Lytechinus pictus: one gene and its partner. The main gene of each other region encodes a partner of the protein of the gene in region 2 in a complex. Links are inferred from orthologs where the notes say so. Each region holds a gene or a part of one and is shown on either strand. Other genes may lie near its edges. The genes, in order: RAD50-interacting protein 1-like and NBAS subunit of NRZ tethering complex-like.

Evidence for each region.
Region 1: NBAS subunit of NRZ tethering complex-like (region 2) and RAD50-interacting protein 1-like share a complex: the UniProt entries of both Homo sapiens proteins name them as parts of the NRZ complex. The link is inferred for Lytechinus pictus from reciprocal best matches to the Homo sapiens genes NBAS and RINT1.

The regions. Positions count from the first base shown.
Region 1 is NC_087254.1:36,484,435-36,501,795, reverse strand, and holds the start of RAD50-interacting protein 1-like, read left to right. Parts: upstream 1-8,770; 5' UTR 8,771-8,801; coding exon 8,802-8,969; intron 8,970-17,275; coding exon 17,276-17,361. Other genes in the region: eukaryotic translation initiation factor 3 subunit D-like, read left to right, coding at 255-274. UniProt on the Homo sapiens protein: Involved in regulation of membrane traffic between the Golgi and the endoplasmic reticulum (ER); the function is proposed to depend on its association in the NRZ complex which is believed to play a role in SNARE assembly at the ER.
Region 2 is NC_087249.1:16,527,197-16,544,221, reverse strand, and holds the start of NBAS subunit of NRZ tethering complex-like, read left to right. Parts: upstream 1-9,588; 5' UTR 9,589-9,668; coding exon 9,669-9,776; intron 9,777-15,538; coding exon 15,539-15,602; intron 15,603-16,324; coding exon 16,325-16,367; intron 16,368-17,025. UniProt on the Homo sapiens protein: Involved in Golgi-to-endoplasmic reticulum (ER) retrograde transport; the function is proposed to depend on its association in the NRZ complex which is believed to play a role in SNARE assembly at the ER. Required for normal embryonic development.

The DNA of each region.
Region 1 (17,361 bases), on a different chromosome or scaffold from region 2:
GATAGCCAAATTGTTGTAACACAAATCTATTCAAATGAACAGAACATATTCAAACTTGTTTAGTTTTCTTCATTTTTTTAAAGCATGGCAAATAGTCTAATAAGGATAAGAAATATGAAGTGTATGATATTTAGCTTTAACATCCTTTTTGGCTTTACATAATTGTAGGTAGTATTGATTATATACTGAGTTGAGATAAAGTATACCTTCTCACCATGTCAAACTCTTGTATATGTTTTGTTTTCTCTCTACAGATGAAGGAGATGATGAGTAGAGCCATTGATGATGTCCCACAGATCAATATCTTACATCATCACCTGTCTACTATCTGGAATGACCCCTATTTTTTTCTGATTTTTGGTGCAACTTCTATCAGCTATTAGTAGATAAGATGAAACCTGAATTAATATTTATTATCTGAGATTGAGGTAGTAGCAGTTATTGCATTGAGACTTACTCATGCTATTTAAACTACAGATTAGCAAAATAAAATGGGAAATGGTCATTGGTTTTATCACATCCTATTCAATGGACACCCCCCCTTCCCCCTCCCTCTCTTCACCCTCATTCTCCTTTCAAAATGTATTGAAGATCATTTGCCTTGCAATTATGGTATACATACTTGCAATGATATAAATTTATATTATTATATTACAAATGACCTGATCCACAAAATACGTTTTTAATATCATTCCAATTCATATTTTGCAATGGTATGTAATTTGATTTTGACCATTGCTACTAAATTGTCATATATATATATATATCTTTCTACATCTGCAGATAAGACAAATTTTGTTGTCTTCTTTCAATGTTCGCAATGCGCCTTAACGCCCTCTACCTTCGACTTAACATCTAAATGTGTATTATAACGGAATAAACCCATTCATAGACTTCGCCCTTACGTAGGATGTATGCATAATATATATATATATTTCATCTTAAGATGAAATCTCCAGGTGGCCAAGGATTGAATCAATACAAATTGTTATGGGATTTTATTTATTTAGTTGCAATCAATCATTAAATAATTTACTTTTTTTTTTGGGGGGGGGGGAATCTACTAATTTCATGTATATGGATAGAATGTTGATTGTCAAATAGTTACCTATATTGAGCTTACATAGCCATTACCCAAAATAAGTACACATTTATGATGGTATTGTCAATAAACTTGAATCCCCCCCCCCTCCTTTCAATGCTTAAAGATATTGAATATAAATTTTTCAGTATACATACAGAAGACAGCTGTGACACTTTTCATGGCTAAAAACTGGTTTCAGTGTCTGGTGGCTTTTTGTTATTATTATCTTCTATTGTTCCATGATTATACAATTTGATCATGTTGAATTTGAGATGAACATGTATTTATTATGCATTATATACTTAGTAATGCAGAAGATGTAGTTGATGGTTCCAATTTTTTAGATAACCATTGGATCATTCTGTTCTACTGCCCAGCCCAACCTCTCTCTGTAGGGATACCTGTCTATAATGGTCACTCGTTATGTATCTGCCTGAAAGACCGATTTTTTTTTGTTTTTTTTTCTCCATTTTTCCTCAGTTTTCTTTTATGTGCATGTACTGGATTTGGATGTGGGGGAGGGGGGGTGTAGAACAGGTATGGAGGAGAGGGATGGGGTTCCGCTCAATTGTGGCATGATTACATTGAATTACAGAATATTTGGAATCTTAAATTGACATTAAATCTTGTCGTACTTCTCAACACAATCTTTTTTTGTTTTGTTTTTCTAATTTTGAATATTTTCTTGCTGGTGGTGATGGTGACAACTCGGTGACACAACAGTTGCTCCTTCGACAACTGCTCTGGGCTTTATAATGTTTAAGATATAGGTTTAGGGTTAGGTTTGCAGTAGGGTTTTATGTTATAGTGTTACATCCAGGGTTGAAGTTAGTCATTTGATTAGTGTGTAGAATTTATAGCCAAGCAATTGTCGCCAGAGCAAATGTCATGGAACCCAGAGATACACATGGTGATTATGATGAATACAGTACATGGGTGATGTTGATAATTGTGAAGATAGGAATGAGCAAACAAAGTGACGAGAGTCAATGAATTGATTAGTTGATGTTATATTAACCCTATCTAGGCCCCCCTCAACGAGTCGCGCAATATTTTCGCCGCGCACATTTTTTTTACTGCGCTGCTCAATTACTTTTTACTTTCAAGTCTTGCGCAACTTTTGAGACCAATTTTGCGTCACCCGGGTACGCGTTTCCGAAATTACGCAACGTTATATAAGTACGGTACATGTAAGACCAAAAATTGCTCAAAAACATGATTTTGTGTACAAAGTCAATGTACATTGTGTTTTCAACCAGAAATCATAAATGTATCATTATTTTTAGTTTTGCTGGTCTAAATGTATGTATTTTATGCTGTTTATGATCTTAGAAGAGTCCCCAACAAATTTCATTGAAAAAACAATGAAAAACAAAGGGTCCAAAAAACAAAGAAATACATAAGAAATTGCAAAAAACAATATAGAAATTGATCTGATAACAGTTTTTTTCTTCTAAACTTGCTAAGAACACCACAAAGAGTTTCTATGCCAAAAATTAGAACATTTGGAGCTTTATTTATGGAGTTACAGGAAAAAATATGATTTTGCATCCTAATTATGCATAAATTAGCATAATTACTTAATAACAATTCGCATGAAACAAATTACTATACAATTTTGTAGATTATATCCCAGACAACCTGCGTGCCAATTTTCGGCGCGGTCGACGGCAGAGATCTCAACCCCCCCCCCCCCCCCCCCCGGCCATATGAACTCCCAAAATACCCCGGCCTAGATAGAGGGAGATGTTCGGATGAGATGGTGATGAAAAGGATGTTGAAGGTTGATGATGGTGGTGATTATGATGATGGTGATGAAAATGAAGGTGGTGGTGACGATAGAAAGAATAAGATTATTGTGATTAAAGTGATGAAGAACTTAAGAAGATGATGATGATGCAGATAAAGATGATGATGATGCTGCTGATAATAATGAACAAGAAAGAAAGAAGGATGACATAAATAGTACGTTGAAATTCATTATAGTCGGCAATTAGACTTTTCTGTACTAACCAGCTGTAATATAGAGTTATGCGAGTCAGAAAGCGGTACAATGATTGAAACTAGTGACCAAAATTCATATGTTCATCTCCAGAAGTTATTACATAACGTGATAATTCAAGTCATCAAAAAGTGAATATGTAAATAAGACGGTTTGAGGATTCGGTTTATTTTCATTTGATCCAATGCCAATTCATCCAATTGCTAACTCGTCTACTATGAGGAGTCCAGTAAGAATGAGTCACAATAGATAAACTGAACTTGTTCACAATGTAAACGGAAATTACGTGAGAAAAACAAATTTTTAATGCAGATGTATGTGCGTGTTATAGTATTAATATCACCTCACAATCCAAATTGTTAGCTTGAAAGTACGTATTACAATTTTTGATCATCATATGAGATCTTATTTCAAGTTAAAATGCCCTGCATGTACATGTATATGTCATGCGATTTATTCATTTTTTTTTAGATAGGCCTAAGTAGAAGTGATAAAAAGAGGAAATATCAGCATAAGAATGGCAACAAGTGGGGGTAAGGGGTAGACTTCATCCAATTTAGCTTGGCAAAATATTCAGTTCTGACAGAGCGAGTACCACTCAGACGAATGTGCCCCCCAACTTGTCAATTTTCCGCTGGATAGACATGGCAGGGGCGGATCCAGCTCTCACTGATAGGGGGGGGGGCGGCAGTTTTGTTTTCATGCATATTTTTATCAGTCACTTCTTGCTTTATTCTTATTTTTTTTAAATGAAATAATCTCATAAGCCCTATTAGATTTTTTTTTTAATCTCAAGTTTTGTCCTGAAAATTTAACATTCTGTGGAACTTGAATGTTTGTGATCCTGGGCAAGATGCGTATAGATTTAAGTGCGAGCGCCAAAGCGCGAGCGGAAATTCTTTCAACAATTAAAATAATGCCAGCGCGAGTTGAAAATTTCAACATTCCGACCTAAAAAAGGCCATTCCAACCTAAAAAAAGGCCATTCCAAGCACTTTGTAATCATGAAAGGTATAGGTCATGCATAACTAAACAATTAATGCGAGTGGAAGAAAATTGAGATTTTAGACCTAAAAACAGGACACTACGTTTTGTAAATCATAATTCCTCCATTAATAATGCGAGCATGAAGCGTGAGCAGAAAATCGCACATCGATCGATCAGAAATTTATCTTGACTCTTTAGACTTTTTTATTAGAGTAAAGCCCCCCCCCCCCCCCCCCAAAAAAAAGCCTTACTTTAATCTACAGGTACAAGTAATCAGGGGCGTAGCGGATCTGATCAGCTTCGAGCGCATGCGCTAGATACCGGTACACGTACCGTACGCTGCCCAATCGTCGCTCAGTTTACGTATTTTCCTTTATGTTTCATTCAATGAGCTACGATATGCTTACTTCCATATGTCATCTGAAAGCGAAAATACTGGAAAATCGTTTCATAGGATAATAATTATATGTCTTAGAAGCCCCGCTGCGTAATTCGCCGTTTTTGGCACCCCTTGCGCCTGCCCAATCGCCGCTCACCATTGCCCTAACTCCGCTCGCTTAGCGCGCGCATTCATACATGGTGTTAAGGCCTGATACTGTCTAACTCTTTTTTCTACCCTTTTCTCTTGCACTTCTGAGTGAGAAAGTGTGTAATTTTGTTCTGATTAAATGTATTGTATACAAGTTTTATAGTACTATACACTGTATAAAATGTTTCTTTCGCCAAGTGCAATTATTTTTAGGGCCTCAAAGTAACTTTTTGTTACTGATCTACGCCTTTATATCGGTTTTTTTTATCCTCCAAACTTTATTCCGTATTTTTTATAAAATACATATTTTCAAAAAACCTTTCCCGACAAACTTTTAACTGATTTCAATTGTCTAATAATATGAATATGATTCTAATCCATTCGTGAATTTTATGAGTATATTATTATTTATTTATTCATTTCGGAAATGAAAAGTATATGAAATTGGAACAATTAATGTAATACAACATTAACAGAGTATATAGATTGAGCACCCACTGGGTCAAATAAATTACTGTTGTCAATAAAGACCATGACCCTAACCAGTGCTATAATAAGGGTGCTTACAAAAAATCGGAAGCGGATAAAAGAGTCAGCATGAACAAAAATGTTTAAAGAACAATATATATAATAGAATAACATGCTTGATATAGTTAAGTTAACTTAATTAACTTAAAATATGAATATTGATGAATTTACATTCTTATAAATAAAACGCTATAAAACTCTTTTAGCACATTCGCCATTCAAAGTAATCATTTTCGCCACTCATCCAACTTGAGTGCCCCCCCCCCCCTTGTCGTCCCTTCCGCTCATCGCCCCCAGATGCCATTGGCCATTGATTTCCATTATTATTTTTTTTTTTTTGAAATAATTATTTGCATCCTCCTTCAGGTTCTAAATCAAATTTGTTGCTTTTACACTATCTTGACTCATTATTTATCAAGTATATATGTATTCGTGTATCCCACTTTTTTGTTTACTCTTTACTTTTTCTTGTCGTATTGATATTTTATGGGACTCTCACTGCATAATTCTTTGGAGCCTTCAACCAACAAGCTTTGCTTTTACTTTTAGCTCCCTCATATCCACATCTCTCATTTTCTTTCTTTGTCATAATTTTAGAACCAATTACAAGAATACATTCTAGTACTTTTTTCTATTGTTATATTATGTACACATTTCATATTTTTACGATGTTTATTTATGCTTATCTATGAAAACTTGTAGGCCTATTGTATAATATTATTGTTTGTATTGAATTGTTGATTTTTTGAAAATGTGAAATGTTGATGTGCATAAACCTTGAACCCTGAACTCCGATAATATTTTTGGGGGGATTCCCTTATATTGACTTTCATTAAAAAAAAGCTCATCTTGAAAAACAACAATAAATATTTAATCACCTCGCTGGTTTAAGTTCATATTCGAACTTCCGTCAATAATAGGAGAGGGAAAAAGGCACTCAAAAAAATTATATTTGTTCAAAATAAATTGGTCAATTTAAATCCTGTTCCGTTTTCAAACAAAACACAATTAAAAAAAGGAAATCTCCAGAAACATGACAAAGTTTCATCTATTCAAATCAATCAGGAAACTACTGACCGAGTTCAAAAGGCCTATATATAGGCCCATTAGTGGGAGATTTTTTCTTATTTATTCATTTAAATTCTTTATTTTATTTAGATTTATAGATATGAATCAGATAGGCATGCAGATAATGCATATGGGCCTACCATAAAATATATGTATCATTAGGCTCATAAGTTATCACATATAGGCCTAATTACACATCTATTTCCATCATTCCAATTAAATTATCCCTAAATGTCATACTCTGAGTAAATAATATTGGTAATCATCAAAATATGAATACGCCACATAAAAAAAACAGTATTACGATCGATAATAGCCTAGAAGACATGCCAGCCTGCCAGGGGCCGCGGAACCGGGGGAGGGGCTTCACCCCAGAACAAAAAAAAAAACTATCCCTATATCTCTAAGTTGTTTGTACGTCGGTATTTAGTGATAAACATCGAAGTCTCATTTTTTAGCATTGATGACCCTACGATTCGTTATAGAGCAAGATAATTTTTGTAAAACTTTTTCCCAAACACTTTGGGCCGGGACAATGATTACAATTAAATCTCGAAATATTTCTGGTGAACAGTGACAAACTCTTTTGATCATCTTTCAACATTTCTGTAAACGTCAGCTTATCTGCCTGCTCCATGATAAATCGTTGACGACCGAGGGGCTTTTATTTGCCGTCACCCTCAGCTAAAGGGAGAGAGAGGGGGAGATAGAGAAGAAATCATAGGAGAAGTGAGAGAGGAAAATGTAAAAGAGTATAAAGAAGAAAAAATGGCCGCGTCGCAAAAAAGACAACGGAAGAGGTATCAATCAAGGCCGGAATAGGAAAATAATGAAATGAAAAAAAAAAGATTAAGAGGAAGGAAAATAAAAGGAAGAAGACAAGACGAAAATGAGAGTTGGGGGACCGACAAATACCTGTCCCCTTCATTTAGAACAAAATAACTATTCAGCCTGCGCTTCGCACCCGCATTGCCCGTTTGTTTCATTATTCATGTCTTGTTTTCAAGTCATTCTCGGTTTGTAACATAAAACATCATTACAAAAGTGCTTAAAATGTCTCGGTTTTTTCTCTGAATCAGGGGCGGAAATCTCTCCCAAAAAGTAGGGGGGGGGGGGGCAAGGGGCTGGAAAATTTGACAAGCAAAAAATTATGAATTATGACCTGAAATAAATTCAGACATTCCTACATTGTTTACACTTAATTTTCATCTCATATTAAATTCACGAGTTGAATTAGTAGAGTAATCAGGCGTTACCATGGCAACATACCATTATCATGCATTCAAATGAACTTATATCCATGCAGAACACTCTGTTGTTTTCGATATTTAAGTCAAACCTACATAGATTTTGGCATTTTCATTGTCATTTTCCACCATTCATCTTTTCCCACCATAATGTTGATTTATGATGGCAATTCAATAAATGCCCCCAACGTCATTGGCCAAAGTTCCGTCATTGACCTTAAATTACCTTTGACCGTGGCATGACCTGAAACTCACTATAGGATTTTCACTGACTCCCTTATTTCGAAGTTTCATGATAGCTATAAAAACCTGTAGGCCTATTTCAAACTTATGATTACATTTCACAAACTTATCCTGTTTTAAGATTTCAATGTTTACGACGCCGCCCGCGCGGCGCCGTCGGAAAAAGCGGCGCTCTGCATGTCTCTGCAGGCAATCAAGACAATTGTATTTTTCTGCGGGAAAGATAAGCCGTTACCATGGCAATGTATCTTTTGCAAATACTTTGATGACTTGATAGGCCTATATCTAGAAATTGAATTTGGAAGGCTTAAGAATGATAGATTGGACCATTTAAATTGACAGGGTAATGTGCCATATATATAGGATCAACTTTTTTTTTAAACATATTAATCAGTTGCCATGGCAACGGCGGAAGGAGGCATTTATGAAACTGGCAACAAGCGGATTCATGTTCAGCACCATCAAAATAGAGGAAATGACACAAAAAATCAGATTTTAAAGAAAAGTCTACTTGAAAAATTATGACAATTCCGTTTAGGCCCTATACTCTTACAATGATTATCATACACAATCAGGGTGAGCGGAGTTAGGGCAGGCTGCTATCTCAAGGTATGCCCTCGCTAATTCATTCACACAACAAATATTCATTCTAGAAAAAATTGTCATGACGACATATCAGGACCTCCCGCACCTACGAATCTCACATTTTCATTCATCATATAAGAATATAACATTTTTCACTGTTTTTAGGAGTTTTTAAAGTGATTGAAAAAAAACGTAATTTGGTGCAGTTGCGGTACAGTTGATCGAAGTTCAAACAGTTATCGGGTTACTTTACATTTAAAGCAGTATTTCACGATGATTTATTAAGGGATTGATTTTATTTTTCCACACTTTGTTTTTTCATGTAATGGTCTCCTCTTGGGTGCTTAATTATGCGAGTATACTAAACTATAAGGAATTTGGGACGAATTTAAAATGATAATCATAATAAGCAGCGTGCGCATCGCGCTTGTGAGGGTGAGCGAGAATTGGGCAGCGTACGGTACGTACGTACGTACGTACACGTAAAAAAAAAAAAAAAAAAAAGGATGAAGAAAAAACTTTGCGACGATGGCTGAGAAGGGACCACATCAAGAATCGGGCTCATCATTGCCTGGATATTCGGATGAAATACGTCGAATGATTGATATGCAGATAGGAAATGATATCAAAAAGCTCTCTGTTACCGAAGATATGCTTAAGGATGCACTTGAGGAAAAGGCAAGGATAGAACAAGAGGTAAATTGTTCAGATCTGTTTATACCTTAGACTGTAGTCCCACACCCTCGCATTGACGTAGGATAGCCTAGTCAGGAGCCGGAGCACTCGTCAAGTCAATCTAACCCAGGGGCATGGCCAGGCTAGCCAGGCGGCTTCTAGAGAGTAAAAATCATTTACTAACGTAAGGTTACTCTCATACGAAGCCAGGCATTCCTCCCCATTCATCTGCGTGTACTGCAAAAAACCCTGAAACTTTCGCCCCCAAGATTTCTACTTTCCTTCTAAAAGATCTAGGGCCTAGCTCTAAATCATGTAAATGGGATAAAACTTCATTTCCGACATTTCTACGCTCTCGTTGTTATTTAGAAAACAAGAATTCATCAAAAAAATGAAAAAATATGGCATAATTGTACTTGATGCCCCCAGGGGACATCAACGTTTTTACCTTTTGGTACTCCTTGATTTCCCGATGATTCTTCGTTACCAAAATGTAAACATTTCTTTTCTCACTATAAAAAAAAATAGAAAGTAGTTCTGGTTTGCGCTAGCGCACCCCATATGAGATGCGAGTACAAATGCGCAAACAGGTGCATCTAGATGAGCGCGCATCCTTGCCTCCTCATCTATCCTCTTATATTACTTGCACTTGATGCCCCCAAAATTGATGAAAGCAGTGATCCGGCGAGTAATCCTAGAAGTGTTGACAAAATTAACCTTGATAGCTAGAGAATAAACTCTCTATTATTACTTGTACTTGATGCCCCCAAGTTTTCCAGTTATTCAGCACGTTTATTCAGAAGTTTACATTCCACTAACCCCATTTCCCCTCTTTTTCTATTTTCTAGCCGCGCAAGCCTTCATAACATCGTCGAAACGAATTAACCTTGTTGGCTAAATTAACCTTGATAGCTAGAGAATAATCTCTCTATTATTACTTGTACTTGATGCCCCCAAAAATTTCAACAAAATTAACCTTGTAGCCAAAATTAACCTTGTTGGCAAAATTAACCTTGAGAGCTAATGTAACCTTGAGAGCTATAGCTTGTCTCTCTTATATTACTTGCACTTGATGCCCCCAAAATTTCAACAAAATTAACCTTGTAGCCAAAATTAACCTTGTTGGCAAAATTAACCTTGATAGCTAATGTAACCTTGAGAGCTAAAGCTCGTCTCTCTTATATTACTTGTACTTGATGCCCCCAAAAATTTCAACAAAATTAACCTTGTAGCCAAAATTAACCTTGTTGGCAAAATTAACCTTGATAGCTAATGTAACCTTGAGAGCTATAGCTCGTCTCTCTTATATTACTTGCACTTGATGCCCCCAAAAATTTCAACAAAATTAACCTTGTAGCCAAAATTAACCTCGTTGGCAAAATTAACCTTGATAGCTAATGTAACCTTGAGAGCTATAGCTCGTCTCTCTTATATTACTTGTACTTGATGCCCCCAAAAATTTCAACAAAATTAACCTTGTAGCCAAAATTAACCTTGTTGGCAAAATTAACCTTGATAGCTAATGTAACCTTGAGAGCTAAAGCTCGTCTCTCTTATATTACTTGTACTTGATGCCCCCAAAAATCTCAACAAAATTAACCTTGTAGCCAAAATTAACCTTGTTGGCAAAATTAACCTTGATAGCTAATGTAACCTTGAGAGCTAAAGCTCGTCTCTCTTATATTACTTGTACTTGATGCCCCCAATTACTTTATTTGTTGCGCGATCAACCGAACCACGCGCGGATGGATATCAACTCGCCGATGATAAACAGGGTCAGGTCGAGGATCCACGAATCAAGGTAAAAAAGTTGATGTCCCCTGGGGGCATCAAGTATCCTTGCCTCCTCATGAACGTTTTTACCTTTTGGTACTCCTTGATTTCCCGATGATTCTTCGTTACAAAAATGTAAACATTTCTTTTCTCACTATAAAAAAAAATAGAAAGTAGTTCTGGTTTGCGCTAGCGCACCCCATATGAGATGCGAGTACAAATGCGCAAACAGGTGCATCTAGATGAGCGCGCATCCTTGCCTCCTCATCTATCCTCTTATATTACTTGCACTTGATGCCCCCAAAATTGATGAAAGCAGTGATCCGGCGAGTAATCCTAGAAGTGTTGACAAAATTAACCTTGATAGCTAGAGAATAAACTCTCTATTATTACTTGTACTTGATGCCCCCAAGTTTTCCAGTTATTCAGCACGTTTATTCAGAAGTTTACATTCCACTAACCCCATTTCCCCTCTTTTTCTATTTTCTAGCCGCGCAAGCCTTCATAACATCGTCGAAACGAATTAACCTTGTTGGCTAAATTAACCTTGATAGCTAGAGAATAATCTCTCTATTATTACTTGTACTTGATGCCCCCAAAAATTTCAACAAAATTAACCTTGTAGCCAAAATTAACCTTGTTGGCAAAATTAACCTTGAGAGCTAATGTAACCTTGAGAGCTATAGCTCGTCTCTCTTATATTACTTGCACTTGATGCCCCCAAAATTTCAACAAAATTAACCTTGTAGCCAAAATTAACCTTGTTGGCAAAATTAACCTTGATAGCTAATGTAACCTTGAGAGCTAAAGCTCGTCTCTCTTATATTACTTGTACTTGATGCCCCCAAAAATTTCAACAAAATTAACCTTGTAGCCAAAATTAACCTTGTTGGCAAAATTAACCTTGATAGCTAATGTAACCTTGAGAGCTATAGCTCGTCTCTCTTATATTACTTGCACTTGATGCCCCCAAAAATTTCAACAAAATTAACCTTGTAGCCAAAATTAACCTCGTTGGCAAAATTAACCTTGATAGCTAATGTAACCTTGAGAGCTATAGCTCGTCTCTCTTATATTACTTGTACTTGATGCCCCCAAAAATTTCAACAAAATTAACCTTGTAGCCAAAATTAACCTTGTTGGCAAAATTAACCTTGATAGCTAATGTAACCTTGAGAGCTAAAGCTCGTCTCTCTTATATTACTTGTACTTGATGCCCCCAAAAATCTCAACAAAATTAACCTTGTAGCCAAAATTAACCTTGTTGGCAAAATTAACCTTGATAGCTAATGTAACCTTGAGAGCTAAAGCTCGTCTCTCTTATATTACTTGTACTTGATGCCCCCAATTACTTTATTTGTTGCGCGATCAACCGAACCACGCGCGGATGGATATCAACTCGCCGATGATAAACAGGGTCGGGTCGAGGATCCACGAATCAAGGTAAAAAAGTTGATGTCCCCTGGGGGCATCAAGTATCCTTGCCTCCTCATGAACGTTTTTACCTTTTGGTACTCCTTGATTTCCCGATGATTCTTCGTTACCAAAATGTAAACATTTCTTTTCTCACTATAAAAAAAAATAGAAAGTAGTTCTGGTTTGCGCTAGCGCACCCCATATGAGATGCGAGTACAAATGCGCAAACAGGTGCATCTAGATGAGCGCGCATCCTTGCCTCCTCATCTATCCTCTTATATTACTTGCACTTGATGCCCCCAAAATTGATGAAAGCAGTGATCCGGCGAGTAATCCTAGAAGTGTTGACAAAATTAACCTTGATAGCTAGAGAATAAACTCTCTATTATTACTTGTACTTGATGCCCCCAAGTTTTCCAGTTATTCAGCACGTTTATTCAGAAGTTTACATTCCACTAACCCCATTTCCCCTCTTTTTCTATTTTCTAGCCGCGCAAGGCTTCATAACATCGTCGAAACGAATTAACCTTGTTGGCTAAATTAACCTTGATAGCTAGAGAATAATCTCTCTATTATTACTTGTACTTGATGCCCCCAAAAATTTCAACAAAATTAACCTTGTAGCCAAAATTAACCTTGTTGGCAAAATTAACCTTGAGAGCTAATGTAACCTTGAGAGCTATAGCTCGTCTCTCTTATATTACTTGCACTTGATGCCCCCAAAATTTCAACAAAATTAACCTTGTAGCCAAAATTAACCTTGTTGGCAAAATTAACCTTGATAGCTAATGTAACCTTGAGAGCTAAAGCTCGTCTCTCTTATATTACTTGTACTTGATGCCCCCAAAAATTTCAACAAAATTAACCTTGTAGCCAAAATTAACCTTGTTGGCAAAATTAACCTTGATAGCTAATGTAACCTTGAGAGCTATAGCTCGTCTCTCTTATATTACTTGCACTTGATGCCCCCAAAAATTTCAACAAAATTAACCTTGTAGCCAAAATTAACCTTGTTGGCAAAATTAACCTTGATAGCTAATGTAACCTTGAGAGCTAAAGCTCGTCTCTCTTATATTACTTGTACTTGATGCCCCCAAAAATCTCAACAAAATTAACCTTGTAGCCAAAATTAACCTTGTTGGCAAATTAACCTTGATAGCTAATGTAACCTTGAGAGCTAAAGCTCGTCTCTCTTATATTACTTGTACTTGATGCCCCCAATTACTTTATTTGTTGCGCGATCAACCGAACCACGCGCGGATGGATATCAACTCGCCGATGATAAACAGGGTCGGGTCGAGGATCCACGAATCAAGGTAAAAAAGTTGATGTCCCCTGGGGGCATCAAGTACAATTATGCCAAAAATATTATGGAAAGACGGAAGACGAAGAGACTTGCCCGATGTTTACGCCGCCATCTTGTTTCCCCCAACGTTACGGACGCGAGCGTTGCGTAACGTTGGGGAAGTACAATAAGAAACAAGATGGCGGCGTAAACATCGGGCAAGTCTCTTCCATCTTTTCACAATATTTTTTCATTTTTTTAATGAATTCTTGTTTTCAAAATAACGAGAGCGTAGAAATGTCGGAAATGAAGTTTTATCCCATTTACATGATTTAGAGCTAGATCTTTTAGAAGGAAAGTAGAAATCTCGGGGGCGAAAGTTTCAGGGTTTTTTGCAGTACACGCAGATGAATGGGGAGGAATGCCTGGCTTCGTATGAGAGTAACCTTACGTTAGTAAATGATTTTTACTCTCTAGAAGCCGCCTGGCTAGGCCAGGCTAGGGAGCTCCGGCCTGCGTACCTCAAGGCTCAAGTGATGTTCGTGCAGGCTTTACTCCACTTCACTACGCTCCATTTACCCGAACATCAAGACAGTGAATAGGGACAGTGATTTTCCGTTTAAAAAAATTGCCTTTTCCATTTCAGAAAATCTCAAATTCCGTTTCAGCATGTCAGAAAACGGAAATTCCATTTCCCCATAGACTTTGTACACACGGAAAAGTGACAATTCCGTTTACACATTGAACAGCAAAATCACAACATGTACACTCGCACTGGTCAAAATTTGTATCTGCTACTGTACCAACAACACAATGGAATCCGTTCTAATCAGATCTATGCGGGTACATAAAATATTTTTACAAACCCATTCAGCATGCATACATCCTCACCTTTCACATTATTTTTTATTTCACGGTGAAATGATATTTCATCGATAATTTTGGGGGTTTTTGGACATCGTTATTATCAGTCCACGGCTTTTGCCAATCCGCCATCTTGGATTTAAAGACCACGATATCGTACTGTTACATCTTCAAACGTAGAGGGCAGCAACACACGACCGTGTAGTTGAACGATATGTGTGCATGTGAAGCCCAACCCAGCTGGCCGGCCGGGTAAGGGTACGGGGTACAATCGAGTGTGCTGATGTCGAGTGCAGTCACGATGTGTGAATTGTCATGATAGTAGCGAAGTGAGATCGTGTTTTCTGGGGTTTTGTGGCCATTTAATATTCTCATTTTATAGTGATTTTGGAGTAATTTCTGTTGCTATTCTGTGTATTTTGAGGGAAAATACGTTTTCCGTGATTTTCCGTTTGAAATGCCACTTTCCGTTTCAAAATGGCCCTTTCCGTGAATTCCGTTCGTTTTCCGCGATCGCGGAAAATCACTGTCCCTAAGTGAACTCGTTCGGATACTCCGAGTGGCAAAGGTGGGAAAAAATGCACATTTAATATTTATTGTAACAAAAAGAAGGAAAAAAAAGACATCAACAATGAATAAATAAAACCCGGGGGGGGGGGGGCCAGTCAAATATATTGCTGTACACACATGTGACCAAAAAAACGTGTTTAAAGGGATGTTTTTTTCAGTTTTGGATGCGGTCCGCGTGTGGACTCGTTAAGGGTATCAAAACACAGATTTTCAAGAAAAAGGGTGGTTTTGAAAGACTGGTCAATGGTAAATCGCGGGGTCAAATCGTGGAATATTTTTCCAAACTCTTTGAATATTTCTGGTATTCCATTAATTCTGAGCCATCCAATATAATATAAATATTCATGCTGTTTGACCTGCGACCCTCGCATGCGATGTTTTTAAATTGGCCGTGAATAATACGTGTGAGGAATTAGATACTGGCCAAAAATCACAAATTTTGAGGATGACAGGAGGATGGACACTGAGTGAAATAAGGGTGAAGAGTAAGAAATTAAGCTTTTATTTATGTTGATGTCTTTTTTTATATATTTTTTTACAATAATTAATAAATGTGCATTTTTTCCCACCTTTGCCACTCGGAGTATCCGAACGAGTTCACTGCCTTGATGTTCGGGTAGGTGGAGCGTAGTCTAGTGGTAGTGAAGTGGAGTGGAGCCTGCACGAACATCACTTGAGGTACGGCCTGCGGAGCCCAGTAGTCGACCGTGCAAACGAGGGAGACACGTGACTGGGGTAGATTGGGGTCTCAAAAAAATCTTAATCTTCGCGGGCCGGAGCTCCCTGGGTTAGTCAATCAAGCCAGGGTTTATTACATGCCGCTGTGCACGGGAAAATCAAGGCACGACGCATGCAACTCTCTCTATGAGCTGATCCTTCGACTTCTTTGGAGATTCCTGGAGTCCAGATAAAACACTTTCATGCGATTGCACTTAATTACAAAATCTTAAATCTAATCAAATTGTTCCATTTCACTTACAAGTACCAAATGATAAAAGTCCCTTTGAGTTTGACTTTTTTAGCACCCTGTTCCTCATATTTTCTTGCTCTTGACGTCGCCTGTACCACGGCTACAATATCAATTTTTGGCTTAAAGAGGGTGCCGATTTATATTCATATCAAAGACGCAACAAGGGAAAGGCAGCAACGTCAAGAGCAAGAAAATATAAGATTATTATTTGCGATGATTACACTTTTTTGTAAATAATTTAAAACGACTAATTTAACAATAGAAAAAATCTGCGTACCTTGAACGAAATCAGCAGTACAAGCTTTGTTCGTTTGTCAATAATACGGTCACCAAAGTCTATACGATTTAAAGATTGGACACTTCACGGACTTCGCGTAATGCTTTGCGTGTAAATAGTTAAGGTGCCTAGTTTACATTACCACAAAATTTGCTTGTCGCTACAAATGCATGGTTGTCTTGCAACATTTGGAAAATGCAGCATAAAACGGATCAAGTATTGTATGACTTTCAACCAATCAAATAAACAAGAATCTTTGTATGAGTTGTATATCATAAAATCCTGAAAGGTGTGGCCATGTTTTACTGCTGCAATTCTACAGCTTCTGCCCTTTGTAAAGTAGGACAGCAATAATTTAGAAAGCTCTTAATTTTTCATAAATAATGCATCAAAAATAATCGTCAGCACCTGAAACATAATGAAAATTGCTTTAAAGTTATTGATCTTACTTGCTGAAAAGGAGCAAAATAGATCTCTAAAATGACCCGAGAATGTGTTGAAACTTATTACCGGTACTTGAAAATGAGCTTTCAAAATGTTCAAATTATTGACAGCAGGTTTTGTTGGATATTGGAGCTAAATCTGATGTCTGAATCCAGCTGAAATCCAGCTGGATCATTGCCACCATATTCACTACACAGGGGTACAATCACGGGGGGGATATAGAATTCTTCCGCCCTGCCATAGTCATAAACACTATGCATACACAAATTTGTGCACATCCGCGACAACGCCATTTAGTGCTCTTTGATGATCTTACAATATTGTGCATTGCACATTCAGAAGTCGTAGCGTGCGAGAGCTGCAGAATTATGGCTCTATCTTAGGCGGCCTTTTCTAGATCGAGACCTAAATAGGTTGTGCAAGCTACCTTACCCTTTTTAACAATTTTTTCTTCATGGGTTTGGATCCCAGCCACAGTGTAGTTTCCTTCAGCAAGTAATTGATAGACATTGTGCTGCACTAAACCCTGGTGAGATAAATGGGTACCTGACAGGAATTTATGCCTTGGAACGCAGTGTGCGTAACAGCTACATGTACTTTGCTAATTATTCTGCATTACTTTAGAGCGGTTAGAGACTTTTGATATTACAGTAAATGTTAAGCGCTATATAAAACAAGTATAATTATTGCTATTATTATTATTCTACTTATTTTTCAACACTTCTCAGTTGTCCACAGCTAGCACCGAAGCCCCATCAAGAATACAGAGTGCCCTCATTGAGGCCACTGCAGCTACAGAACGCTTGGATGACCT
Region 2 (17,025 bases):
TGTCGATTTGAATAAAAGAAAATATGGAGCCTGTGCATAATTTATCTATGGACATTATACAAACACTCCTAAACAATAACATAATGATATCATAATAAAAAGTAAATCCAAAATTGACCCCCTTGTAAAATGGGGCTCTGCAAAAAAAAATCATTTCTAGTAAAACAATATGGAATTATTTTCCCCTTAAAAGTATAAATTTCTATGTAAAAGAAAGGATTAATATTTGCAAACACATCCATTATCCTTTCAATATAATATTGCAATTATTTACCATTAAATTTTGTTAGACTTTGTGAATGTTGAATCTGAACAACACTGAGCCAGTCAGCATGGTTAAGACTCCAGAACGAAGGTGCCAAGAGTCACTTTAACACTGGAGATGTATTCTTGCTGTTGAGACTGGTCTTATTCTTCTGGGAATTTATGTGGTGATCATAATCCAACAAATATTGAAACAATGTCCTTTAATATCAGCTGAAATGAGGACCTAGGACTAGTCAGTCTTTTTATCACCTCCAACCGTTGTTGCTTGAACACTGTTGGGTTTGAAAGGGCAGCCAGTTCTTGTTGTGGATTCTTGATTATATTCATTTTCCTGTATGGCAAGGGGAAGAATACGAAACAAAACATACATGTAAGAGACAACTTTAAGACACATATTTTGAAAGACTAAAGCAGAATAAAGGGGAATTAAATAAACAATTAATTTGCCACCTCATCTCATGAAGTGTTATGTATCTACTATCTAGATATCCATATCCATACATGAATCTGTATCACTTAGTGTACTAGTAATATAGTACTTTTTTAGTAGAGCCTACACATAACTGAAATCAACAATTGAACATAAAATAATATGAGATTCAATAAATGATCAAATTCCATTTTTGTTTGGTGCACTGGTTGTATAAAAATTATCCTGACCAAGGAAATAGAATTATTATTAGTGAAGATCAAAGGAACAATTACCCCCAGGCTCCCGAAAGTCATCACCATGTTCCCTGGGCCTGGGTCCACAATCTCATATCGACACCAGAGCACCTTCCTTGGGCTTGGCTTTAAGTTTTCGTCTTTTAATACTCAGACTCAGACTAGAGCTTAGTTTTATCTCATCAATTATCACTCTCAGACTCAGAGTCAGATATCACAGTCACACACAAAAATGATTATTATAGATTTATCTGTTGACCCCCCCCCCATACACAAATCATAGATCATGCTTATGTTTTATGCTACATCTATATGACTCTATCTCTCTCTCTCCCTTCACCAACCTTCTCTGTTCCATTTGGATTCTGCGATTGCCCGTCTCCGGCTTCACTGCCTCTGCCGGTGCCTTCGGCTTCGGCGGAGCCTTTCGGAGGCGTCACTCCGTAAATTCTCATGTTGAAATTGAACCAGGATTTGACTCTCTCGGGTAAAAGCGGGTTGACAAAGGGTTGAATAAACCGGTGAAATACCCACAAAACAAGTGGAATGACAATGCAGGGTATACACACCATGTTTATCGAGAAATGTCTAAAAATGAGAAGAAAACAACAGACGAGGAGTGTAGTGTAAATATTGCGTAATCGATCGAATTAGGCTTGGCCGGGGCTTTTAACTAAATTTTCTTATTTCAATTTTCATATCTATATAAGATAAGAATTACAAAATCAAATATGCTTAAAATAATTTTTTATGTTGTATTGAAATTTTGAAATTTGGTTTTTACATTGTTTACTATATAAAAAAGGAAACAAAACGTTCTGTTCATAAAAAGGGATGAGTTGATTTTCGAGGTCAGCAAATTTTATTGACTGAAAATGTAGATTGCTACCGAGCAGTCTGATCGGTCACTACTAGCCAATTTGATAATGCACAAAAATAACGATCACTTTTTACAAAAGCATATCTCTGATGTTCAGTGAAGTCCCGGGGTGAAGTATGTGTTTCCATACAAATAATAGGCCCTTAAAATTCAACTTGACTCATTAAATATGTTTCTTTCTATGGCAGTAAAGCCTGCTCAGGGGCTATAATCCAAGGGCGACCATGCAGGCTATATATAAATATGGATGTTGTCTAATTGTCTATTCTAAATGATTCCCACGGTCCCAACTATATCTTTTGTCCTCAAAATTTAACATTCTGACCTCTTTTATTTGATTTAAAGAGGAGGGGGGGGGGGGGGGGGTCAGCCTGAAGAAAAGTTTGTTGTAAGAATACCAGAAAAAAATATTGGTGTAGGTTCGAGTGAAATCCATTAAAGTTTAAAAAGGTTATTAAAATTTTTATATTTTGATTTGTCACGTCATACGAACAGCTCCCCATACCGCGTGGTAAAAAATAAATTAAAATTAATTTTCTCTTTAAAAAATCAAAATGTTTTTTATTGTGCCTTCAGTATATCAACAGAAAGATCCTTTCACACCCACTCCTGAATGGAAAAGGTTTAGTTCATCATGAACTATTAGAAAATTAATTTATTCATTTTATTTTTCACAACATTGAGGGAGCTGCTCGCATATGATGTCATAAATAAAAACTTTTAAGTTAAAAACAAATCTAATAATTTTCTCATCTTTAAAGGATTTTCCTCAAATCTTCACCGATATTTTTTAACACGGGCGGTAGAGTGAAGTTGAAACTGCACGAGGGCGGGGGGACAAGCTTCCTCTATATAGTTGAAAAGGAAAGATGACCCCATTCTAAATTACATTATATTCACCATTTATTACGTTTTTGCCTGAAGTAGCTGTTTGTTTCGTTAGTTCAGCATAACTTTTAAAGGACACTTCTGACTATTATTAGTATATAATTATGCAAGCCATATACGCTAGCTCGCTGTTTGGAAAAATGATTTAAATCCTAATTTGTGGAAATCGATTCGTGTTCTATTCTGATGGCGCTATACAACTCTGATTTTTTTTTAGTTTGTTAAAAAGTTATAGAAAAATGTTATCCTTGAAATTATTTTACTTGTTGAAGAGAAAGTCATCGTCGGAAAATTCCCTCACGAATTAAAGACCCTTTAATCGAAGACAAATAATTACATAGGGCCGTGTTTGGTTTTTATTGTTCCTATTATCATTTCACAATTAACTCTCCTAAAAGAAAAAAATAAGTTAGTCACCATGCATCATGGACCATTGAAAATCGAAATTCATGAATTTCATATTACATAACTGGGGCAGCTGCTCGTATGAAACTGAAAATTCTAACAAATTTTTTAATCATCGATGGATTTTCTTAAACCTTCACTAGTATTTTTCATTATATTTTGTATTTTGACAGCCGCTTTTTGTCAGGGTGAACTTAATTTGATCCCTTTAAGAGCCACTGTATTTTATTTTTGTTATCACTATTCTGTATGATTGCAGGGAACAGAAATAGTTGAAACTAGCTAGGGCAGCATCGGAAGCAGTGTAACATTAAGTTTATTTTATCTTACCCTGAAATTCCAATATATTATGAGCTTTTTTGGAGGAGAAGTGCGCAGACCATGAGAGAAAACATTCAGCTTCCTCAAGCCATCCCCACCCCCTTCTTGCCCCAGTCTATCCAAGGCTTTACTAGTGAAAATTCGATCCAAACAGTAATTTTATCCAGACATCTTAAACTCATGCCGTGACATAACTAAAATACTGAGAGTGTTGGATCCATCTCCGACGGTCAGCATGCATCCTCATCACAATAAACGAAGCACCAGTACTTTTCTGCTCTCAACCCCCCCCCCTTTTTTTTTTTTTGGGGGGGGGGGGTATTCATCATTTGTTTCATTTATTGAACATGTTAATTTAAAACGTGTGGAGCATACAGTTTATTCTCTTGGACAGATGAACAGGCATAGTAATACAAAGAGAAATGAAGTATAAAGTGAAGTAAGAAAAAAAGCATAAAAGGAGGACATTAATTCTGGCGTGAGTATAATAGTAGCGTACTAAGCCAAACGAATTTGAGGGGGCGCAGAATGGCCAGCGTGTGTTTAAGGGGAATTTCTAAGTCACAAGTAATAATATTTTTGCCTTTTTTAAATAGAAAAAATAATTGTGAAAAATAATTGTGATAGGTTTTAAAATTATAATAATCAATGGTAAAACGCACACATTTCTTTTCATCTTAATTGTCTTTTCTTTAAATCATTTTAAATTATTCGTCAGTACGGTCGTTTAGGAAACTTTTTTTTATCATGGCAGAGACTCCCTCAGAGGGTTAATTACCAATTCGTCTACTGCCATCTCGTCCACTCACCGCATGATCTACATTCGTTAAGTGTATAATGCCATTCCGTCCATCGACATTTCTTCTAAGAACCATTGGTCCAATAACCATTTGGTCCAATCATCACCTCGCGTCTATAACCATTTCGTCTATGACCATTTCGTCTCGTAACCAGTTGGTCTATCAATTTCACTTTCATTTATATGGACTAATTATGGCTAATGGACAAACTGGTTATCATACAAGATGGTGAGTGGACGAATTGGCAATCAGCCTGGTGAGGGGCGGCGGAGCGAAGTTGAATTTGGGGGGGGGGGCACAGGGGAAGAAGGGCACCTTTCTTTCGAAAAGGGCACTTAAAAACAAAGGAAAAAAATGTCTTATCTATATAATGGTGTAATGAGTCAAAAAAAAATTGTTGAGGGTTCTAGATATTTCGTAGCACGAAAAATTAATAAGTAGCTGCGAGCGAGCAAAAGTTTTGACATTTTTATAACGAATTTTGTGGTAGCTAGCCTTGACATAATATTCATAAAATAATATCATATTTTACCCCTTAAATTGTCGGTGAACGGAGCAGCACTGCAGCAGGTAGGAGGGCGCCAGCCCCTACGAGGATCTAGCTAGGAATTCCGGTGGGTGATACAAAACTGTTCTTTTTTAAAGTATGTACTCGGTTGTATTTTTTAAGATCTATTTTTTTTTTTTTAAATATTTGTTGTTTGTATAAAGGAACTGTTGCTGGGCTAGCGCCATGAGCGTCTCTGGACGCGGTGTGTGCGATCAACAAGATATTATTATTATTATTCTCTCTTTCCTTTTCTTACTCCGTCTTTTTTTTTTTTTTTTTTTTTTTTGGGGGGGGGGGGGCAAGAGCCCCCATCTGTACGCCACTGCTTATCTACCCCACTCACATGACTCATGAAACTTAAGGCACGTCTGATTATTCTTACAATATTTCCTTCATAAGTAGTAACATATAAAATGAGAATATTGTTTTCTTGTTAAGTGGCGCTCGTTAACAACAAAAGGCCTTCTCATGTAAAAGGGGCACAAAACACGTTCGTGAGGGGAACTTTTCTTGAGTAAAAAGGGGGCACTGATTCGAGAAAGGGCACGGGTTACAAGAAGACAAGGGGCACTAATTGCTCACACCTAAATAACGGGTCACCCTCAGGTAAAAGGGGCTTATAGTCGTGAGGGGCATTTTACTTGCATAAAAAGGGAAAATTTTCAGTGCTTCAAAAAGTGTGGGGGGCATTATGCCCCCGGCAGGCCCGCCCCTGGGATAGTGGATAATCTGATGAGACCAAAATAGTAGACGAGTTGGCAATTGGACGAATCATGGGCGGAAATTCCAGGGGGGACAGGGGGAACGCGTCCCCCTACCATGCCTACCATTTTGGAAGGGGGGGGGCATAATATCAAATGTCCCCCCTAATATTTGTGGTCTTTTATTATGGAAAAAATACATAATTCAAAATCGAAATTATACACATGTATCCTCGAATTTCGAAAACTATATAAACAGATAGTTTTTGTTAAGAACTGGGATAGGAAAAGAAAAGGCATACCGGCCCGTCTATTCTCGAACTCGCATCTAGCCCTATATGCCAGCCAAAGAATGATGACATTGATGACATCGATGGCCATTGTCAATTTCATAACTAATAAAAATGACGAAAAAAGAAAATTGCCTCTGGATAATTATAAGTAAATTTAGTGCATAGATGGTAAACGAGAATGTTCCATACCCAGTAAAAACATACCTTTGTTAAACCAATTCATTTTCCCTTTATTCCAAATATACTTGGAATATAAGAATATTTTCATTGTTCGCGTATACTCAGTAAAAAGAATAGTTTTCATGAGTTATGATTAATCCTTACTATGTTTAATCCCCCAAAATTTGTTTTTAAATACTCTATTAACGTGACTTTTATTTTCCGTTTTTCCACAAAATTCCTGCCGTGAGAGGGGTCACCATAGGTAGATGAAGGGGGCGAAGCGGCAGCCCGCCCCCTATTGCCGGCACAAAATAGGAAGGAGAGGATAAAAACAAGAAGAAAGATAGGACGAGGAAGAATCTTAAATGATGGAAGGGGAGGGGAATAATTGGAAAAAATAAAACTTTCAGGTCATAGTATAAAAATAAAAAAAATCGCTCGCGTTTTCCATGAATACACAGTCATCTCTTTATTTCAAAACGTGCTTTTTTTCACTCTTTAGATCTAAATATATAAAGTCAAATCATTTATTTAGGAAGATATCCATCTTTTTCATAATTTGTAGGTTTAAATCTTTAACAAAAAAATAGCTTGCGCTTTGCGCTCGCATTGCTTATTGAGATAAACTGCCTTTGTTCTTTCTTTCAAAAGTGCTTGAATGATCCAGTTTTCAGATCTGAATATAAAAAAAAATCATTTCGCGCTTCGCGCTCGCATCAGTAATATGGTTGAGTCAGATACTATCCTGTTTATTGCTATAAGGTGAAAAGAAGATGACTGTTTTGGTCGGGGAAAAAAATCAGGATATGCTTCGCGCTCACATTAATTAAAATTTTGTTAGATAGCTACCCTGTCCTTGATTTTAAAATATGCTAATAATACCAATTTTTAGGCTGGGAATGACATATCTTTAGCACACACTTCGCGCTCGAATCTAATATTGTTTAGTAAAATTCCTATCCTGTTCATGATTTGAAAAAATGTTACGATTGTCCGGTATTTAGGTTGGAAAATACAAACTTTCAGCTCGCGCTTCGCGCCTGCATTAATTGTTTAGATTCCTATCCTGTTCATAATTTTAAAAAATGTACTAAGAATGTCCAGTATTTAGGTTGGAAATCAAAAACTTTCAGTTCGCGCTTCGCGCTCGCATAAATTGATTAGATTTTTATCCTGTTCATATTTTTTTAAGGTGCTATGAATGTCCAGTTTTTAGGTTGGAAAATAAAAAACTTTCAGCTCGCGCTTCGCGCTCGCATAAATTGATTAGATTCCTATCCTGTTCATGATTTGAAAAAGGGTTACGAATGTCCAGTTTTTAAGTTGGAAAATCAAAAACCTTCAGGTCGCGTTTCGCGCTAGCATTATTTTATTAGATTCCTATCCTGTTTATGATTTTTATAAAGCTGTTAAGAATGTCCAGTTTTTAGGTTGGAAAATCAAATACTTTCACCTCTTGCTTCGCGCTCGCATTAATTGTTTATATTCCTATATACTGTTCATAATTTTTTAAGTACTAAGAATGTCTAGTATCAAGGTTCAAAAATCAAAAACTTTCAGCTCGCGCTCCGCGCTCGCATAAATTGATTAGATTCCTATCCTGTTCATGATTTGAAAAAGTGTTACGAATGTCCAGTTTTTAAGTTGGAAAATCAAAAACCTTCAGCGCGCTAGCATTATTTTATTAGATTCCTATCCTGTTCATGATTTTTATAAAGCTGTTAAGAATGTCCAGTTTTTAGGTTGGAAAATCAAATACTTTCACCTCTTGCTTCGCGCTTGCATTAATTGTTTAGATTCCTATCCTGTTCATGATTTTTTTTAAGTACTAAGAATGTTTAGTATCAAGGTTGAAAAATCAAAAACTTTCAGCTCGCGCTCGCATCTATTATTTAGTTGAATTCTTATTCTGTACATGATTTGAAAAAGTGTTACGAATTTCTAGTTTTTAGGTTGGAAAATCAAAAATTTTTAAGCGAAGCGCATTAATTGTTAAGGTAGGTTCGAATCTAGTTCATGATCATAAAAAAATGTTCAGAATGTTCAATTTCCAGATCACAATTTATGAAATATCAACATATTTGGGCTTGCATTATTTATTGAGGCCTTTCATCTTTAGTTAGGAATACCTGTCCCCTCGTCGAAATATATATATACATATATATATTAATGAGGCAAAGTGGTAATGCATACTTTGTTCCAACAGTTTATTTTGAATTCCAAATTTTCGACGTTAAACGTCTTCCTCAGGGATACAATAAAGCTCACAGAGACAAGAACTGAAATAATAACATTCATGCATGATTGTGGTAGTCATGGAACCGCGCACAAAACAGCATCATATACATATATATATATATATGTGTGTTTGAGAGGGTGTGTGTGTACTTGAGTTAGTATTTCTGTAGAGCATAAAAACGGAAAACTCAATTTAATTGTGTCCCCCCTACCTTCAAGGAGAGATTTCCGCCCATGGGACGAATTGGAACCCCGGCCACCGGAGAGCACGACACCTGGCATATGGCACCTCCCCTAGTCGTTTAAAGGCCACCGCACACCTTACGACTGTTCGCGATCCGATTTTGGAACAAATTGCATTTTGCTAATTTTCTTAAAATGTGAATGGAACATATCATTTTATTTGAGGTTAAAATTAATTGAATACCAATATAACCATTTTGTAAGATTGTAAGCCTCTATTTTGGAGTAAAGGCCAAATTAGTTTCAAATCGTAGCCAATCGTACGACTGCTATGACGTCATTACGACTAGATATTAAATTTGTTTTTATTCTAAGAAGGATGATAGCATAGTCACAGATTTAAATATAGATATCGTACGATGATTTCGAACATTACACAGTAAGATATTCCAAGTCTCAATATAAGGCATCAAATTCTACTACGTTTTATTCCAAAATTGAGTCGCAGACCAATCGCAAGGTGTGCGGTCGCCCTTAGACAAAGCAAATATTTTTCAAGGGGGAACCCATCCTTTTGGATCCTTACCGATCAAAGCTAGGAGGTAGATTTTTTTTTCTCCCTCTCATTGAGAATGCAACCTGATTTTCCTTTGTTTAATACAATATTTTTAAATTTCTGTTTCCCTTACTTTTATAGCGATAATAATAATTGTAATTTTTGTTATAGACATACATGTAGTATTTGTATTTGTAATGTCTTGTCTGGATCTGAATCTGGATGTATACGATGCAGGGCCCTCCTGGGCATAAACGCATCGGGTAGGATGGGGGATCGGGTGTCCGGACACTTTATATTTTTGAAGCCTTCTTTTTTGTCTTTGGATTACCCTAAAAATATGAATTCAATAGTTGCAATCATCTTCGATTTTGTTCTCTATAATATTTCCTACATTTTGTACTAAAAATTGATGAAACTTCGCCTGTAGATTTCTTCAATTATGACTTCCTATAATTGATCGTCCGGACACACAACCTGTCCGGACACACAACAACTGGGTATACTTAATTGACCTTGTATCCGTTTGTCCCCCCCCCCCCAAAAAAAAAAAAATGAATAAATAGATCGAAGACGATTAACACTACCCCCTCCCCCATCTGGAAAAAATATGATAGATCTGTAATTCACTACTAGTACGGCCACACAGAAAGGAACCTGAACTATTTTAATAGGTTGATATCTTCATTAGTGAAACAGACCCACATATTCGATTTCACGTATACCGGCCGTAAGCTATGATGACGTGACGTGTTGAAATGGCGTCTGCTGATGAGGTGACACAGAATCAAGGACAGGAGGAAGAGGAAACAATCTTATACGATCTTTTCTTTCCGTATGAATGGTCTCAAGAATCAGAACCATTGGTAAGTCTTCATCAGGAGTGTCAAAATAATTTTCACACGCAATTAGGTAGGCCTAGATCGCTATTAACGTTAGATCTGGATCTGGGATTCTCATTCTGCCTTTTTTTTCATGACATGAGTTTCAATTCTGGACTTTGTGACTTGTCTTTGTCGGGCCGGGGGGGGGGGGGCACTCAGTATGGGTGGAGCTATATAGGCCCTACCCCTTAATTATCGACCACCTAATTTCTACGCATCGTATCTGCGAAAATCAGTTTTTCCTTGCTTTTGTCTTAAACTCTTATTTGTGCAGAATTATGTTTCGGTCGGCGACTCCGATTTAGCTGATTCAACTCGCGCAGAACGTTGTCGTTAGAATTTATATCGGCGAACATCAAATACGACGATTTGCTCATTTGCACCTAACCCAGGGAGCTAATATTACACGGACGAGTCCTGGGCTCCAACCAGCTTCACGGGCCGGAGCTCCCTGCCCTGGGTTAAATTTGCACTCTTTTGAAACTGACCACCCACGATACACTATAACTATATAAGTTTACGGCCGACTCTTGTCGCGGTGGTGAAATATTTTGACTCTTCCAAATCAGTTCTGTGATGTCAACACGCTAAGTCAATGACCGTCTCACTACTTCCACTGCGCAGGGTGACCAGATGTCTCGTATTTCCCGGGGTCGTCCCCTATTTTGCTCCTTCATTTGTCACGGCGTCCCGACAAACCCTTCTCGGGACGCCTATTTGTCCCGTATTTCAGAATATTGAAAAAACATAGTTAATACATTTGAAGGAAAAGTCTACCCCAACAAAATAATGATTTGAATAAAAAGAGAAAAATCCAACAAGCAAAACACTGAAAAATTCATCAAAATTGAATGTAAAATAAAAAAGTTATGACATTTTAAAGTTTCGCTTAAAGGGATGGTCAGGGCTGAAAATAAATATATCGTAATAGATAGAGTAGAATTCACTGAGCAAAATGCCAAAAATTTAATCAAAATTGGATTACAAATAATAAAGTTATTGAAGTTTAAAGTTTAGCAATATTTTGTGAAAACAGTTGTCATGAATATTCATTAGGTGGGCTGATGATGTCACATCTCCACATTCCGTTTTCTTATGTTATTAGGGCCTACATGAAATCGTATTTTATTTCATTATTTCATACTTGTGTGAATAATATGTCTCCCTTATAATGAAATAAGTTGCAGCAATAAATATCTAATGCACTAAATCAGTCGTCAATCCAATTTTTCTAGTTCTTAGAGGAAAAAAATTGAATAAACCTAATTTCTTATAATAAAATACAAAAGAACAAGTGGGGATGTGACATCATCAACCCACCTAATGAATATTCATGACGACTGTTTTCACAAAATATTGCTAAACTTTAAACTTCTTTCGGCATTTTGCTCATTGAATTCTACTCTATTTATTAAGCTATAAATACTTTCAGCCCAGACCATCCCTTTAATTTCACAAAACAGTTATATGCACATCCTGGTCGATATGCAAATGAGGAGACTGATGACGTCATCCACTCACTATTTCTTTTGTATTTTATTATGAAATCTGAAATATTCTCATTTTCTCTTCATTGTCAAGTGAAACAGTGATTAATTCCTCCTTTAACATGTGGAATTAGCATTGTTTAATACTATATGGTTCAGTCAAGTCGGTCCCTCTGGTCGAATCTGTAAAAAATGAAATAATTTATAATTCAAACAATAAACAAAAGAAATAATGAGTGATGGACATCATCGACTGATTCATTTGCATGTCAATGAGTTGTGCATATCACTGTTTTGTGAAAAATAAGTGAAATTCAAAATGCCATAACTTTCTTATTTTACATCCGATTTTGATGAAATTTTCAGTGTTATGCTAGTTTGATTTTTCTTTATTTATTCAAATCAACATTTTGCTGGGGTGGACTTTACCTTTAAATGTGACGAATTTTCATCAAATAACCAACAGATGACGAAGCAGACAACAATAAAATCGATAACTAAACTTTTGCAAGTTCTGTGGTGATTTTCTTGCTAGCCCTATACATTGCAAGCGAACTGGCCTCCTGCCTATGTGTGGCAGGCTACTAGTACTAGCTAGGCATGTAGGATTGGAGCAGATTCTCAATGGGGCAAACAATGACATGATAAACAGTTTTTCCACCAAAATAATCACAAAATCGGCGGAAAATTTGTATAATTCTATTATGGATTCTCATATTACTGATTTGGAGATGTAGTCGGAGGAATAAGTTATTGAGTTTTTATTACTTGTTGTGTATGATGCCATGATGTTTCATCTAATTTTAAGTTGACAAGGTTTCACTTTGACATTTTATTCATTTCTAAAACATTTTAGTGTTTTTCAATTTTAAAAATATATTTAAAAAACACCAAATATGATTTTTGTTAGATGATTGGATTGTTTTTCTTTGCTTGAAGTTTGAACTTTTTTCCTCTTTCTTTCTTTCTGTCCTTTTTTCATCCTTCCTGCTTGCCCTTTTTTGTTCCATCTGTCATTATTTCCTATCTTTCTTTCCTGATCCTTTCTCTCTCTCTCTCTCTGTTCATTTGTCTTTCTTTTCCTTCTTTCTCTTACCTGCCTTCTTTATTAAATTTCCTTTTATTATTTCCTTCATTCTTTCTTTCCTCAAACTTTTCTTTGCTTCCTTCTCACTTCCTCTTCTTTTTCTTTTCGTTCTTTTTCTCCTTCCATTATTTTCTTTTTTTTCATTCTCTCCTCTCTTTATTCTTTCCTCCCTCTCTTTCCTCCTTTTTTCATTCTTTATTTTATTTTTCCTTCTAATTCTTTTCCCTTATTTTTTCCCTCCCTCCCTTCCTGTTTTTCTTCTTTCTTTGTTTGTTTCTTTCAAAGAATGATGGAAACATTTTTCTTTCCTCTTCCTTTTTGTCTTACTTTCCTTTTTTTTCTTTCTCTCCTTTATTTTGTCTTTCACACATTTATTCATCTTCCCTTCCTTTCTTTTTCTGTCTTTCTATATTCAATTCAAAGAATGACAGAAACCTTTTTCTATATTTTATTCTTTCTTTCATCCTTCTTTTATTCCAACTTTCTTTTATTATTTTTTATTTTTTTCCTTCGTTTTCCCCTTCATTTTTTTCTTTTTTCTTCTCAATTCATCTCTTTTCTTTCGCTTCTTTTTTCTTTTGTTCACCCTCCCTTCCAAAGTTCCAATTCTTTATAGTTTTTTTCACAAGTCTAAAACTGTGTAGCCTTCTTTGTTGATCTTTTTTGTCAATTGTCCCGTATTTCATTTTGTGAAATCTGGTTACACTGCCACTGCGAGCTCTGGCACATGATTCGACGATTGACAACGGATATTTGTTCTAAAGCCGTTTCCTATCGGATTTCTTGGTATGAACAACTGTTCTTCGGCAGGGTTCAGGTCTAGTCAAAACAATTTTGATAAATTCTACTAAATTTTTACCTTTTTCCCCTTCGATTCTTACTGTTCCTATGGACACTGCGCCTACTCTCCCGTGCGTAACGTTTGTAATACGCAATAATGTGAATGCGCAAGGTGGTGGGTTTCAAAAGAGGTGGTCGATATGTGGTGGTCTCACTATATAATGCAAGGTTGGTATGTGCCGCGGAGGGGACCCCCACTTTTACTCTCAAATTTCCATTCCAATGCATAGCATTTTTATCTTATTGAGAAAAAAACAAAGAAAGCCGGTCCAAAGCAGCCATAGCATTTTCTTCTTATCAAGAAAAAAAAAAGAATTCTGTTCCGATCAGGGGACGCGGAAGCGGGGGGGGGGGGGCTTTTTCCAAAACCGTGTACAAAAACGTATAAATTACCATATGATTGTGATTTTTGGCATGGTCAGCACCGCCAATTTTGGCTCAGCCCCCTCACTTTGGAAACCGTTTTGTGGCCCCTGCCGATCATGGCAAAGCCAAAGCTTCGCATATTTTTCATAGCGCCGTTCCGGCCGCATAGATCCGCTACAATGAGCTTCAATTTTGGTGAAAAGCGGCCACAGAGTGCTGTCCGACCATCGCCTCTGCGCGAGCGCACCTGGGGAGTGTTTCATCAACATTTTCATCCGACAAGTTGTCAGATCTGACATCTTTCTCTGATGTTGATTGGCTGAGAGGCACTGTTACTATGGTAACTGTCGGATAAAATGGGACCTGTCGGATAAAACGTCCGACAAGTCCTTTCATGAAATGCTCCCCAGGTGTCCGTCCTGCTGGGCTAGCTGCACGTATGCCCGTTCCATAGGGATGCATACGCACTCACATGCAGGCGACCCATTTCGGGACCCCCATTTTCACAAACATTTGTAGTTCTAAAGCCCGTTCCGAGGATCCTCCTTTTTACAATAAGCCCGCTCCAAAGCCCCCGTTTTTTGTCTCGCCTGCGGCACATAGGCTACCTACCACTTTTTTGTTCGAGTACCCCCCTGGGTGTCACTGTCGACTGTCATAGACACAGTGTCGTGTCATTGAGTAAGAGAAGTCGGCCCCGGCCGTTGCCAAAGTTTGCGAAATTGCATGATTAGCGCCGGTCCGACCATACATGTGAACAATTGCCATGTCATTCAACGATAAAGGCTTAAAGTGGCTAAGTTGGACCTTCTAACGTTAATTCTACTTGAGCTAGGTGGGCTCGATCAATGATTTTGATAAAAATTAGAAATTCTAACTAACAAGTTAGACTATCTATGACTATATTCAGTAACTTTCGTTAAGTCATTAGACTTTAACGTTAGAGGTGCTGGTCAGAAAATTGGGATCGTCCAAGTTAACAGGGACTGTGTTTTCAAAGATTCCTCCACACAAGAAATCTCGGAAAGTTCATTCACCTGTCAAGTAACAACACCAATCAAGTGCGGTATGCTAGTCATTGTAAACAAATTGAACAGGTTTAATTTACAAGATTATTGGAAGAAGGCAGAAGTGGGGGGAATTGAGGTCACTGAATCTATTTTTAGTACTCTCAATCCCCGAAATTGCTGTCTTTGTCCTGCAGGGGTAAGTGAACAAAAAAAACTGTCCCCATAAACAAGGACAGTCTCAATTTATCAAGACATGATTTGTCTTGGTTTATGAGGATATCCTTGTTTCCTGGGACAATCCCAATAATATTGGCAATATTTGGACCAGCACCTCTACTGATAATATCTAACGTTACATGATCTAGATCTAACATGCATGCCTGAGGCCCGAAACAGCAAAGCTTAATGTTAGCTATGATCGTAGTAGAACGTTTTTCTACAATTGATTGCTTTGGCTACAATGTACAATCAATCGTGAAACTCGATTGTACGATTAATTGCTAACCTTTGTTTTACAGAGCCCTGATTTGCATGATAACAATATCAATTATCTTGATATTGAATAGGAGTCCTAGACTAGATCTAGATCTAGACTAGATCTACAGATGCAAATACAAAAACAATAATTTTGGATTGTCAGAAAATATATTGCCTGGGAGTGGGAGCTGCTCAAGTGCCTATGATGTCAAAAATTAAATTGTGAAAATCTGAATATTTGTTATTTGATGGATTTTTGACAAAATATTCACTCATCAATCATAAGCATATAATATCTCTTTCTTGTCTATTTTTGTCTGCTTTTTAAAAATCAACTCATGATTATGAACTAGCTGTCAGGGCCTTCCTCATTATTCCTTGACCTACAACTTGTGGTGGGGGTGAATGATGTTCGGTAGTTAGCACATAGAACATCCATCAAAAGTAAATCTTGTGTTTTATTTCTCCTTCTCATAGACAAGTGTTATTGCAGAGAAACCCAGGGGCTCTCTCGTTGGAAAGGTATCTTCTGCAACCGCAAGTGAGTAACTTGACAAGTGTAGGATTCTATTTTGAACACTAATGTATTGAATGTTTCTATTTCCTTTGATGTTACCTTTTCTGTGATCTCACCACTTCCGACTCCTTTATTCATCTCATGCTTTACATTCTTATCTCATGCTTCATATTCCCTCTTCATTGCCATCCTTTCATCTCCTGGGGGGTGTTTCATCAACATATTCATCCGACAAGTTGTCAGATCTGACATCTTTCTCTGATGTTGATTGGCTGAGAGGTACTGTTATATGGTAATTGTCGGATAAAATGGGACTTGTCGGATAAAACGTCCGACAAGTCCTTTCATGGAACGCCCCCCGGCTTTGCATTCCTTATACAATACCTTTGCAATGTTTTTTTCTTCATGTTCATTCCATGGTTCAGTTAATTTTCTCTGAATGGTTTGCCTTTACTGGAAGTAAAGTTTATTCTTAGAAACTCATTTATGTTCATTGGAAAATCATTTATATTCATGTACTTCTTTTTGTATACAAATTATCTTATTTGAATATTTATTATTCATTATTGCTAATATTTTTTTTGTATAATTGGCTTTCACATTCCTTAATTGTTGCTATGTCAGACAGACCTTAAATAAACTTTAGATATTTCCTCGCGCATTTTTCTTTTTGAAAAAATGCTAATATTAGTAAATTATCTATATTTTCAATGTATCTTTTTACTTATTATTTTATTTTCTTTCAGGATCTTTGTGGACTTTTGTGAGAAGCACAGGAATCCCTCTTGGGTAAGTGCAGCTCAGATTGTTTTCTTGCAGTCTTTGATTTCTAAAAGGCCACGTCCACCCAACAAATAGTTGAATTAAATAATAAAGGAAAATCAAACAAACATCTCACGTAAGATAAGTAGGTTATGACATTTTAATGTGAAGTTGCTTATTTTCACATAACTAGTAAGGAAGTGAAAGAACTGATGATGTCATACACTCACTATTTCTTTTGTGTTTGAAAAAAAAAATGAGCAGTTGTATGATGTTATTTTCAGATTTGACAGTAAGGGAGCTTGTCATATGATCACATTAGGCTAAAACTATGAAAATTGCCTCATGTTCGTGGAGGAATAAAATGTTAGTTGCCAAGGAAAATTTTCTAAATATTTCATGTATTGAATAGTGAGTTGATGATGTAACTGGATCCCTCATTTGCTTACTGAGAAATACTGACCAGGATGTGGATGGCGTATATAAATGTTAGAAATCAAGTGAAAATTTGAAATGTCATAACTGTATTATTTCAAACCCGATTGTGATATTTTGATGAAATGTTCAAAATTTTGCTTTAAATTTTTTTGTTGTTGTTCAAATTAACTTTTTTTGTGTGTGTGTGTTGGGATAAAAATAAATCTTTCCTTCTTTTAGGGCAGAATGATCCCTAATTGTTAAATCA